2 linked regions of the Callithrix jacchus genome follow. The protein of the gene in region 1 interacts with the protein of each later gene in a pairwise test. Links are inferred from orthologs where the notes say so. Each region holds a gene or a part of one and is shown on either strand. Other genes may lie near its edges.

Region 1 (4,272 bases):
CTGCATCAGTCAGGTCCGAATTAGCAACTTCCGCTGGAAGGGGTGTCTGCCACTTTAATCTTCTTGCGATACTGCCGAAGCTTATCTCTCAGATGCATTAGGAAATTTTTTGTTTCTCTCAGCAGCACTGAAAACATCTGTTTCTAGACTTTGATAGATGTTGGGGCTGGGACATATGCACAGAACTTCACAGGAATCTGTTAGTCTAATGCTTTAGAAATGCTTAGCAAGCCCGAAAGAATTAAACTAATTAGTCAGATCAGGACATCTCGGGCATTTCCCTTCATTCAAAGTTGTAGAGACCCTTAAAATTCTGGGAAAAACCAAATAAACTCGTGGTGGGTTTACAAGTCATTATTCTAGTTAGAGTCTTCATCCACATATCTACAGGGTAGGCAACTGAAATACTTATTCAGTAAATAATGTTGAAAGGTCCATCATACTGAAGTATCATTTACTACAAACTCATGTGCTTAGGAAAGAAACAACTGCCATTAAAATTCTGAGGTTAAACAGTTACTCTAACTGTTCTTTAGTTTCGTTTCCTCCCAGGATGTACTGCTTTTTTTTTTTTTTTTAAATAGGGCGTGTACTAGAAATGAAGTTTAATGTAAGTTTGTTGTTTACAATATTGAGAGAGAGAGAGGGTAAGAGGAAAAAGGAGAGCTGAGAGAATGCAGCCCACTTGCAAAACAGGCACCTGTTTCAGTATGAAGCAGTAGGGAGAGGGAGAATGAAGTGTGCTTCCCACTTCTTCAGGTCCTTTCCTTGATGAATGGTCTGGAAATGTATAAAACAAGGGCATAGGCAGACCAAGGGGGCACGTTCCACACAATACTGAGCACAGCATGTCACTTGTATTATATATTAAACATCGGTGAATATCTTTTTGATGTTGACACAGGAGTTGGGATTATTGTTCGTGGTGCAGGTGGCAGTGGAATTGCCCGTTTTGAAAGGGATCTGGGGGAAAGCGCTATGGTTCATACCCCCCTCTTCGATCACCATATACTCCGACTTACTCAGAGTCGAGTTACTCCTTGCTTTTCGGAGCTCCTCGGCTGAAGAGGAGAGGTGCTGGCAACTTCCTACGTGCATGTACTGGGCTTGCTCTTCCCCTTCCGTCTCCCGGTGGTAGAAGTAATTGAAGTTGGACACAATCACGGGAACTGGCAATGCGATGGTCAAGACACCGGCGATGGCACAGAGAGATCCCACAATCTTGCCCCCTATGGTCACTGGGTGCATATCACCATAACCCACTGTTGTCATGGTTACCACTGCCCACCAGAAGGCATCCGGGATGCTGCTGAAACCTGAGGTGGGGTCGTCTGCCTCGGCAAAGTAGACCGCGCTGGAGAAAAGGATGACCCCAATAAAGAGGAAGAAGATGAGCAACCCCAACTCTCGCATGGACGCCTTCAGCGTTTGCCCGAGGATCTGCAGCCCCTTGGAGTGGCGGGAGAGCTTGAAGATGCGGAAGACCCTCACCAGGCGGATGACCCTCAGGATGGCCAGGGACATGGCCTGCTGTCCGTTGCCCTGTCGCTCGGCCAGCTCTGTACCCAGAGTGATAAAATAAGGGATGATGGCCACAATGTCAATCAAGTTCATGATGTTTCGCGAAAAGGTGGCTTTGCTAGGACAGGCGAAGAACCGCACCAGCAGCTCGAAGGAGAACCAGATGATGCACAGGGTCTCCACCACGAAGAAGGGATCGGAGAAGCTGGAGGCTCCCCCCGAGGCCCCCGACGTGCTGTTGCCGGCTGCATCGAACGCGTCCTGCGACGGCGAGGAGGGGTAGTCCTTCTCGTCGCGGAACTCCGGCAGCGTCTCCAGGCAGAAGATGACAATGGAGATGAGGATGACCAGCACGGACACGATGGCGATGCCCCGGGCCGGCCCGGAGCTCTCGGGGTACTCAAAGAGCAGCCACACCTGGCGCTGGAAGTCGCGGCGGGGCAGGGGCCGCTCCTCCTCCCGCAGGAAGCCCTCGTCCTCGCGGAATTTCTCCATGGCCTCCTCGCCCAGCTGGTAGAAGCGGATCTCCTCGGAGAAGATGTCGATGGGCACGTTGACGGGCCGGCGGATGCGGCCCCCGGACTGATAGTAGTAGAGGATGGCGTCGAAGCTGGGCCGGTTGCGGTCGAAGAAGTACTCGTTGCGGAGCGGGTCGAAGTACCTCATGCGCCGCTTGGGGTCGCCCAGCAGCGTCTCGGGGAACTGGCAGAGGGTCTTCAGCTGCGTCTCGAAGCGCAGCCCCGAGATGTTGATGACCACGCGCTCCCCGCAGCAGTCCTGCTCGCCCGCGGCCGGCAGTGAGGGCGGCAGCGGCTCGTAGCGGTCGCAGCCGCCGCCGCCGCCGCAGCCGCCCTGAGGCGGGGCCCCTCCACCGTCCGCCGCCTCCGGCTCCAGCAGGTGGTCCCCGGGCACCACGGTCATGTCGGGCGGCAGCTCCGGGCCTGCGGCGGGCTCCGAGTAGCCGGGGTTGACCAGCGTGTGAGCGCCGCCGCCGCTCGCGGGGCGCTGGGGAGGGTGGGCGCGGTGGCGGGCGGAGGGCAGCGGCGGCGAGCGCAGAAGGCTGAGGTGCTCGTCCATGCGGCGGGGAAGAGGCGGCGGCGGCGGCGGGGCCGGGTCGCTCCTCCTCGCGCTCCCCGCCCCTTCGCCGCCTCCGCCCCCGAGCGGAGCCCGCCGCCTGTTGCAGCTGCCGCCGCGAGGCTCGGTCAGGGTCTGGCGCGGTCCGCCGGGCTCCCGCACAGAGACGCCTCCTCCCTCCGCCTAGCGCTCTCCGCCCCCTCCCCCGCGGGGCGCGCGCCCGCCTCCGCGTCCCTTCAGGATTCCCGCCCACTGCGCGGGCGCGCATCTCGCGCCCTGAGGGAGCCGCCGGGCCTTCCCTTCTTACCGCCCTCACGGACCCTCGGTGTCAGTGAAGCGCCCTCATGTTGCACCTCGGCGCCCCGCGGGAATGCCCACCCAGCGGAACCGGCCCACGGGGAGTCCGGCTGCCGGCCCCGGCCCCTGGGCTCCTCCCGCTTCTGGTCCGCTTCCCTCGCCCCCGACCCGCGTGGCGGCGTCCCAGTAGCCAGGAGCTCCTGCGGCGGCCCCGCGGGCGCCGGCCCCTTGGCCTTCACATTCCCCCCGGGCCAGCCCGGGGAGGGCAGGAGGTCCCGGTGTCCGGGGAGGGAATGCAGGCCAGGCGGGCGCCCTGGGCCGGAGGCAAGCCTGACACCGGCATCCCAGGCTCACTTGAGGGTCGAGGGCCGCCAAGCCCTGGAAGGAGCGTGGGGGGGGGGGTCTAACAATTTAGCTCCTGCTAGGATGAGAAGCCGAACGGAGTAAGGGTGCTGATGGGCTTCGCAGACTGAGTCCGAAGGAAATGGACCCTTAAAGGCCTTCGGGCCCTGCCGCTTTAGTGATTAGTTCACACCCATTTTCGCTGCGGAGATTTCGGCCACTGGGAAGAATCAAGGACCAAGTTTCCGATTGGGATTAGCAGTGACAGCCTGGCCTTTGTACACTGCAGAGACTTCCTGTCGGCGGGGAAGTAAGAGGAAATGGGAAAGGAAATTCACATCGTCTAAGTTGTGTGGTTACAAAGTCCCACTCTATGGCTCAAGTGTGTCGTGGAAGGGATGAGAGCAGGATCTGTACCTAGACTTTTTACTTCATATTTCAGCACTGCCCTTGTGGTGGGGAATTTGTCAGGCTTTATTTGTTAAACCCGGGAGGGCATTCATTCTGCAACTTGTACCTCTTGCTTGATCTGGGCCCAGAGGTAACTTACATGTATCTTCTTTAAACGTATTTTTCCAAATTGTTGGGGTTTACTTTGAACACAATTGTTTCCAGAAATTTTAACAATCTAATATAAGCTAACCCTAGGCTTTAAAGAGTCCATTTTTTAAATTGTATCATTCAAATCATTTACGGAAGAGGAACTGTTGTCTAGACAGCTCCTCACCCACCCCAAGTTCGCTGACAGTTCAATTTGAAGTAAGTGATTTGTGGTCAATACTTCCCACCACCACTCCCAACCGTAGGGTTCTCTAGGGCTCAGAGTAGGTCCTGGCCAATTTATACTGCTAGCATCTACCAAAGTGCTTTGTAAATAGTGGGGATCAGTACGTATTTGTTGAATTGAATTCCCCAAGGAGTGGCTGTTTGCACTGCTATCCGCTTTGGAGTGTCAACATTTCTTCTTTTTGAGCCCAGGATCCTATTGGGATTCCTAAGATGCGGAATGAGGAGAAACAGAGTTCACCATAGAAAACA
Region 2 (4,445 bases), on another chromosome or scaffold:
TTCCCTGCCATTCTTTCCCTGCCATTCTTTCCCTGCCATTCTTAGTTAAAACTGATCTTTTGTTCCAAAAATTTTTGCTACCAACCATTGCCTGTCTTTTACAGTTCTTTTATACTGTGTCTTCTCTCCAACTAGATAATCAACTCTTTCGGTGTTACATCCATTTCCCTTTCTCCTCCCTCTTACTCCCACCCCATATTCCCATCTCTATTTTAATTTTAGCTTGTGCCCCTTCAGGTGTACTCCCAGCTTATTTTATTTTATTTTATTTTTAAAATTCCAAGTGATACTTTGACTTTTGACTACATATGGAATCATAAACTTGTCTTTTTCATTTTTGGATAATGAGTTTCCGATTAATTATCACCCAAAAGTAAAATGACTGATTACTATTTAATTAATTCACTCTGTGCTTGTTTACAATAAAATCAAGAGAGAAGCCCCAAATTCAGGAACAGACAAAGTACTTTAATCACTATCACATTTTTTAAGTCTAACCAATTAGAAAACTCAAATCTTTCCTCACAGCCAAGCACATTAAAAAAAAAAACTTCTATAATCATAAACCTGAAGCTTTAATCAAATAATTCTACAATTGTAAATACTTTATGTATTTTGCAAATATGGTATAACCTGTTGGCATAAATTTCCATTGTTCCAGAATAGATTGGTAATAAAACTACAGAAAAGTTAAACATCTTCCTTTCTTATTTCGAAGTGTTTGGGAGGCATTTCAGAAACGGATGGGAAACCTCAGATTCTGCATTCCTGCTTAAGTTTCCATCCACACCGACTAGATGTAAACGAGTGTCACCAAAAGTACACCACTGCCACCCACACAGATTCCTTCCACAAGGAATCCACAAAGTTTAGATGTAAAATATACCTAAAGGTTCCTAGCCATCTTTCACCCCTCCCTCTGTGAAACAGGGAGACAGATGTGTCTTAAGGCAGAGACGGAACGTGGGCGATGGGCGGGGCGGAGGAATGGAGGGGGGATGGCTTAGGACAGGGCAGGATTGTGCCGCCTTGGTTGCCCATACTGGGCATCTCTGCAGGCGCCTCGGCTCCCTCCACCCCTGCTGAGATGATGCACTGCGAAAACATTCGCTCTCCCAGGGACGCCTCTTGGTGGTTCAGAGCTGGAAAAATGTTGCCTCGGGTTTAAAATACTCTCCCCAGGCAACCCAGAACGGGAGAAACATTCTACTCGCTCTCTGCTGGCTGCGGTCGCTCCCCGCCCTCTGCTGCCAGAACCTTGGGGATGTGCCTAGACCCGGCACAGCGCACGTCCGGGCCAACCGCGAGCAGAACAAACCCTTGGCCGGCGGCCAGGAGGCTCCCTCCCAGCCACCGCCCCCCGCCAGCGCCTTTCCCCCCCCCCCTTTACAATACAAGATCTTCCTTCCTCAGTTCCCTTAAATCACAGCCCAGAGAAATCTCAGAGCCTTCATCCAGCCACGGGCCAGCATGTCTGGGGGCAAATACGTAGACTCGGAGGTAGGCTTCTGTGGGGGCGCGCTGGGAGTGCCCGCTTCTGCTTTCTGCCTCTCCAAGTACCCGACTGCTGCCCTGACCCCAGACCTCTCTCCACTTCGCAGCACTCCTCTGGGGTTGGCACCGCTGAGGAATGGGCCTGGGCGGGGAGGTGAAGAGAAGCCAGGAATGTTTTATGTTTTCCTAATGTGGAGAGGGCCAAGGGAGCCCCTAAACTACGAGGACACAGAAAAGTGGGTTGGGGTCCTGAGACTGGGTCTGCCGGGCTGAGGACACTTTCTCTGGATGGGTCTAGGATGCTCCCTTGTTGCGGGACCCCCATGGTCCGGCCCTGCCTGCTGGGGGTTCGGGGAGGTGGAGTGCAGGGGGAGGCGGAGTTATTTACCCGAGTCCTGGGGACAGTCCCCGGGACTCCCTGCCGGCGCCCAGACTGGCTGGCCCCAGAGGGGGCGCGAGGTGTGTTTGCACTTTCCAAAGTTCTTGAACCGTCTCAAGAACTCCTGCATCTTGGCTTCTGTCAGGGGCGTTCTGAGAGGGGTGGACCTGCCCTTCCCAAACTGCCACCACCTCTTCCAACCCCATCCACCCGCGGGAGCTCTGCCCGGGTGTGGGGAACTCGTCTTCCCGCCCGCAGCCTGGGGGTGCCCTGAGGGTGGGTCGGGGGAGCTGCACAGGTGAGACTGAGTTCTGGGATGTTTAGGGGGTCTGGCGCGCGGCTCCGCCAGAGATAGGAGCTTCGGGATTGTGATTAAAGCATGGGATTGGGGAGGGAGTACCGTAGAGGGACGAGAGAGGGCCAAGGCAGGGTGGGGGGCGCGGGCAGGTGCGAGGGGGACACCGCCAAGAGGTCGGGAGGCTGTTGTTGGGTCTTAGACAAAGCTGGAAGGGATTACGGGGACAGGGGTAATGGGGGCCGGGGACTGGAACGCGGAGCAGGTGAAGCGCTCGGGGCTAGAGCGGCGCTACACACGGGTCCGGGTCCGGGAGAAGCCCGAGGCCGCCCCCTCGCCGCCAGGGTCCTGCGGGTCCTGCGGGCTGAGCCGGGGCGAGCGCGGGGGCGGGGGCCTGAGGACCTCGCGGCGGGGCTTGCCCTGACCCCTGGCGGCGGGCGGGGGAGGCAGGCGCGCCCCACCGAGTACCGAGGGGTGTGGTGTCCTCGGAGAGATCCTCTTAAAAAGCTGGCGGCGCGCAGGCGGTTTCTGTGCGCGGAGCGGTCGCTGTCGGAGCGGTTAGTTCGATTTCAAGCCGGAGGTATTCCCGCCGCCGGGCTGACTTCTGATCGCTTGCTTTTCTTTTTGAATATTTCCTCCCACCACCGTTGCCGCCCTCCCGCTCCTGGCCGTCCGCCCTCCGCCCTCTGCAGGGACATCTCTACACCGTTCCCATCCGGGAGCAGGGCAACATCTACAAGCCCAACAACAAGGCCATGGCAGACGAACTGAGTGAGAAGCAAGTTTACGACGCGCACACCAAGGAGATCGACCTGGTCAACCGCGACCCCAAACACCTCAACGACGATGTGGTCAAGGTAGGCCGAGCGGCCAACTGGGAAGGGCCGGGACAGCTCTCCTCTGGCAGTTAGCCCGTGCATCCTTCTTTAGCATTGCCGTGCACACACCACACCACACCACACAACACACACACACACAGTTTTGTGGGTTTGATGTGGAGGCGCTCCACGGTCAGCAGAAATTGTCACATCTTCCTTCCCCCCATCTTCCCCAATAGTCAGTTCAGCTGGAATTCAGCTAAAATGAGTTTTGTAGAAGCTCTGATAACTACACTTTTGTCAGAGCAGATGACCCTATTGACCTCAGCAACAGACGGCCCATACTCCTTGGGACGGTGAGATGGTTCCCATCCATTCCCAGGTTGAAAGTCTGGTGCACGTGGCATTAAGACAGTAAGATAATTGTGTCAGGTCTTGTGCCGAGGAACAGTCGGAATACAAGATGGGCATGTTCCCCCACTAAAACGATGGGAAGTGCTTTCTTAAAAAATGATACAGTGGATGGAAATGCCTAGGACTAAAGACAAAGAAAATACCTACTTATTCACATACAAATGAGAGTTACTTTACGCTAATAAGTCACTTGTGCACAACTAAGCAAATCTACAAAACCAAAAACAATATGTGCCTCTTGGTTACTCCTATGGACACCTGCACTTAGATGTGGAAAGTTGCTTCTTTAGCAGCTGCCTGGGTCAGCCTGCCCTGAGCTAATGGCACATTCAGGTTGGAGTTCCTTCTCACACTTTCAGGATGTGTTTGGTGAGATTAAAAATAAATGGACCGGGTTATTGGCCAGACTTAGATGTGACTCAGTGGTCAGTTTTAAATTATCATTATTACTTGATTTTGACCCTTTTAGCCAATCTAGTGGGAGGAATTATTGTCTAAACACATCTGGATTGGGATATCATGGGCTAGAGCCATCCTTGGCAGAGGGTTTTCTCTGAGAAATGGAAGGCTAAGGAAAAATCCTGGCTCAGGGATTAGAGTGTGAAGATCTAGACCTACACAATCCCCAGCAACCAATGAAGTGAAGGAGCAATTGCCACCCACCACGCCTCCTATCTATGGATGGGAGGAGCTATAGGTTGCAAACTGTTCACATTCATGAATAATATATTTCAAAAGAGGAAACAGTTTAATCTGTAACTGGAAGGAAAATATAACTGTCAGAATTGACTCTCTTGGCTTCCTGGCATAGGAAAAAGGAAAATTGGAGCATTTGCAGCTTTTTTTGAGTAGCCAGATTATGGACTATTTAAAAGCAACAGCAACAAAAGTACCTTATAAACTAGAAATTAGAATCACTAAAAAAAACTATTTACTAAAAACATTATCTTAAAGGGAGAGGATATTTATGCTTTCCTCTCCCCTCCCCTCACCCTTCTCATGTAGCTTTGAACAAGGAGAGTTGCCAGGAAAAGAGGCAGATTTC

What was found.
Region 2: the proteins of KCNA3 (region 1) and CAV1 come close enough for resonance energy transfer, tested with the Homo sapiens proteins (2 studies listed by BioGRID). The link is inferred for Callithrix jacchus from reciprocal best matches to the Homo sapiens genes KCNA3 and CAV1.

What each region holds. Positions count from the first base shown.
Region 1 is NC_133508.1:148,535,511-148,539,782, forward strand, and holds KCNA3 (potassium voltage-gated channel subfamily A member 3), read right to left. Parts: upstream 2,733-4,272; 5' UTR 2,599-2,732; coding exon 868-2,598; 3' UTR 525-867; downstream 1-524.
Region 2 is NC_133512.1:87,103,974-87,108,418, forward strand, and holds the start of CAV1 (caveolin-1), read left to right. Parts: upstream 1-1,446; 5' UTR 1,447-1,470; coding exon 1,471-1,500; exon of another isoform or gene 1,501-2,171; intron 2,172-2,860; coding exon 2,861-3,025; intron 3,026-4,445. UniProt on the Homo sapiens protein: May act as a scaffolding protein within caveolar membranes. Forms a stable heterooligomeric complex with CAV2 that targets to lipid rafts and drives caveolae formation. Mediates the recruitment of CAVIN proteins (CAVIN1/2/3/4) to the caveolae.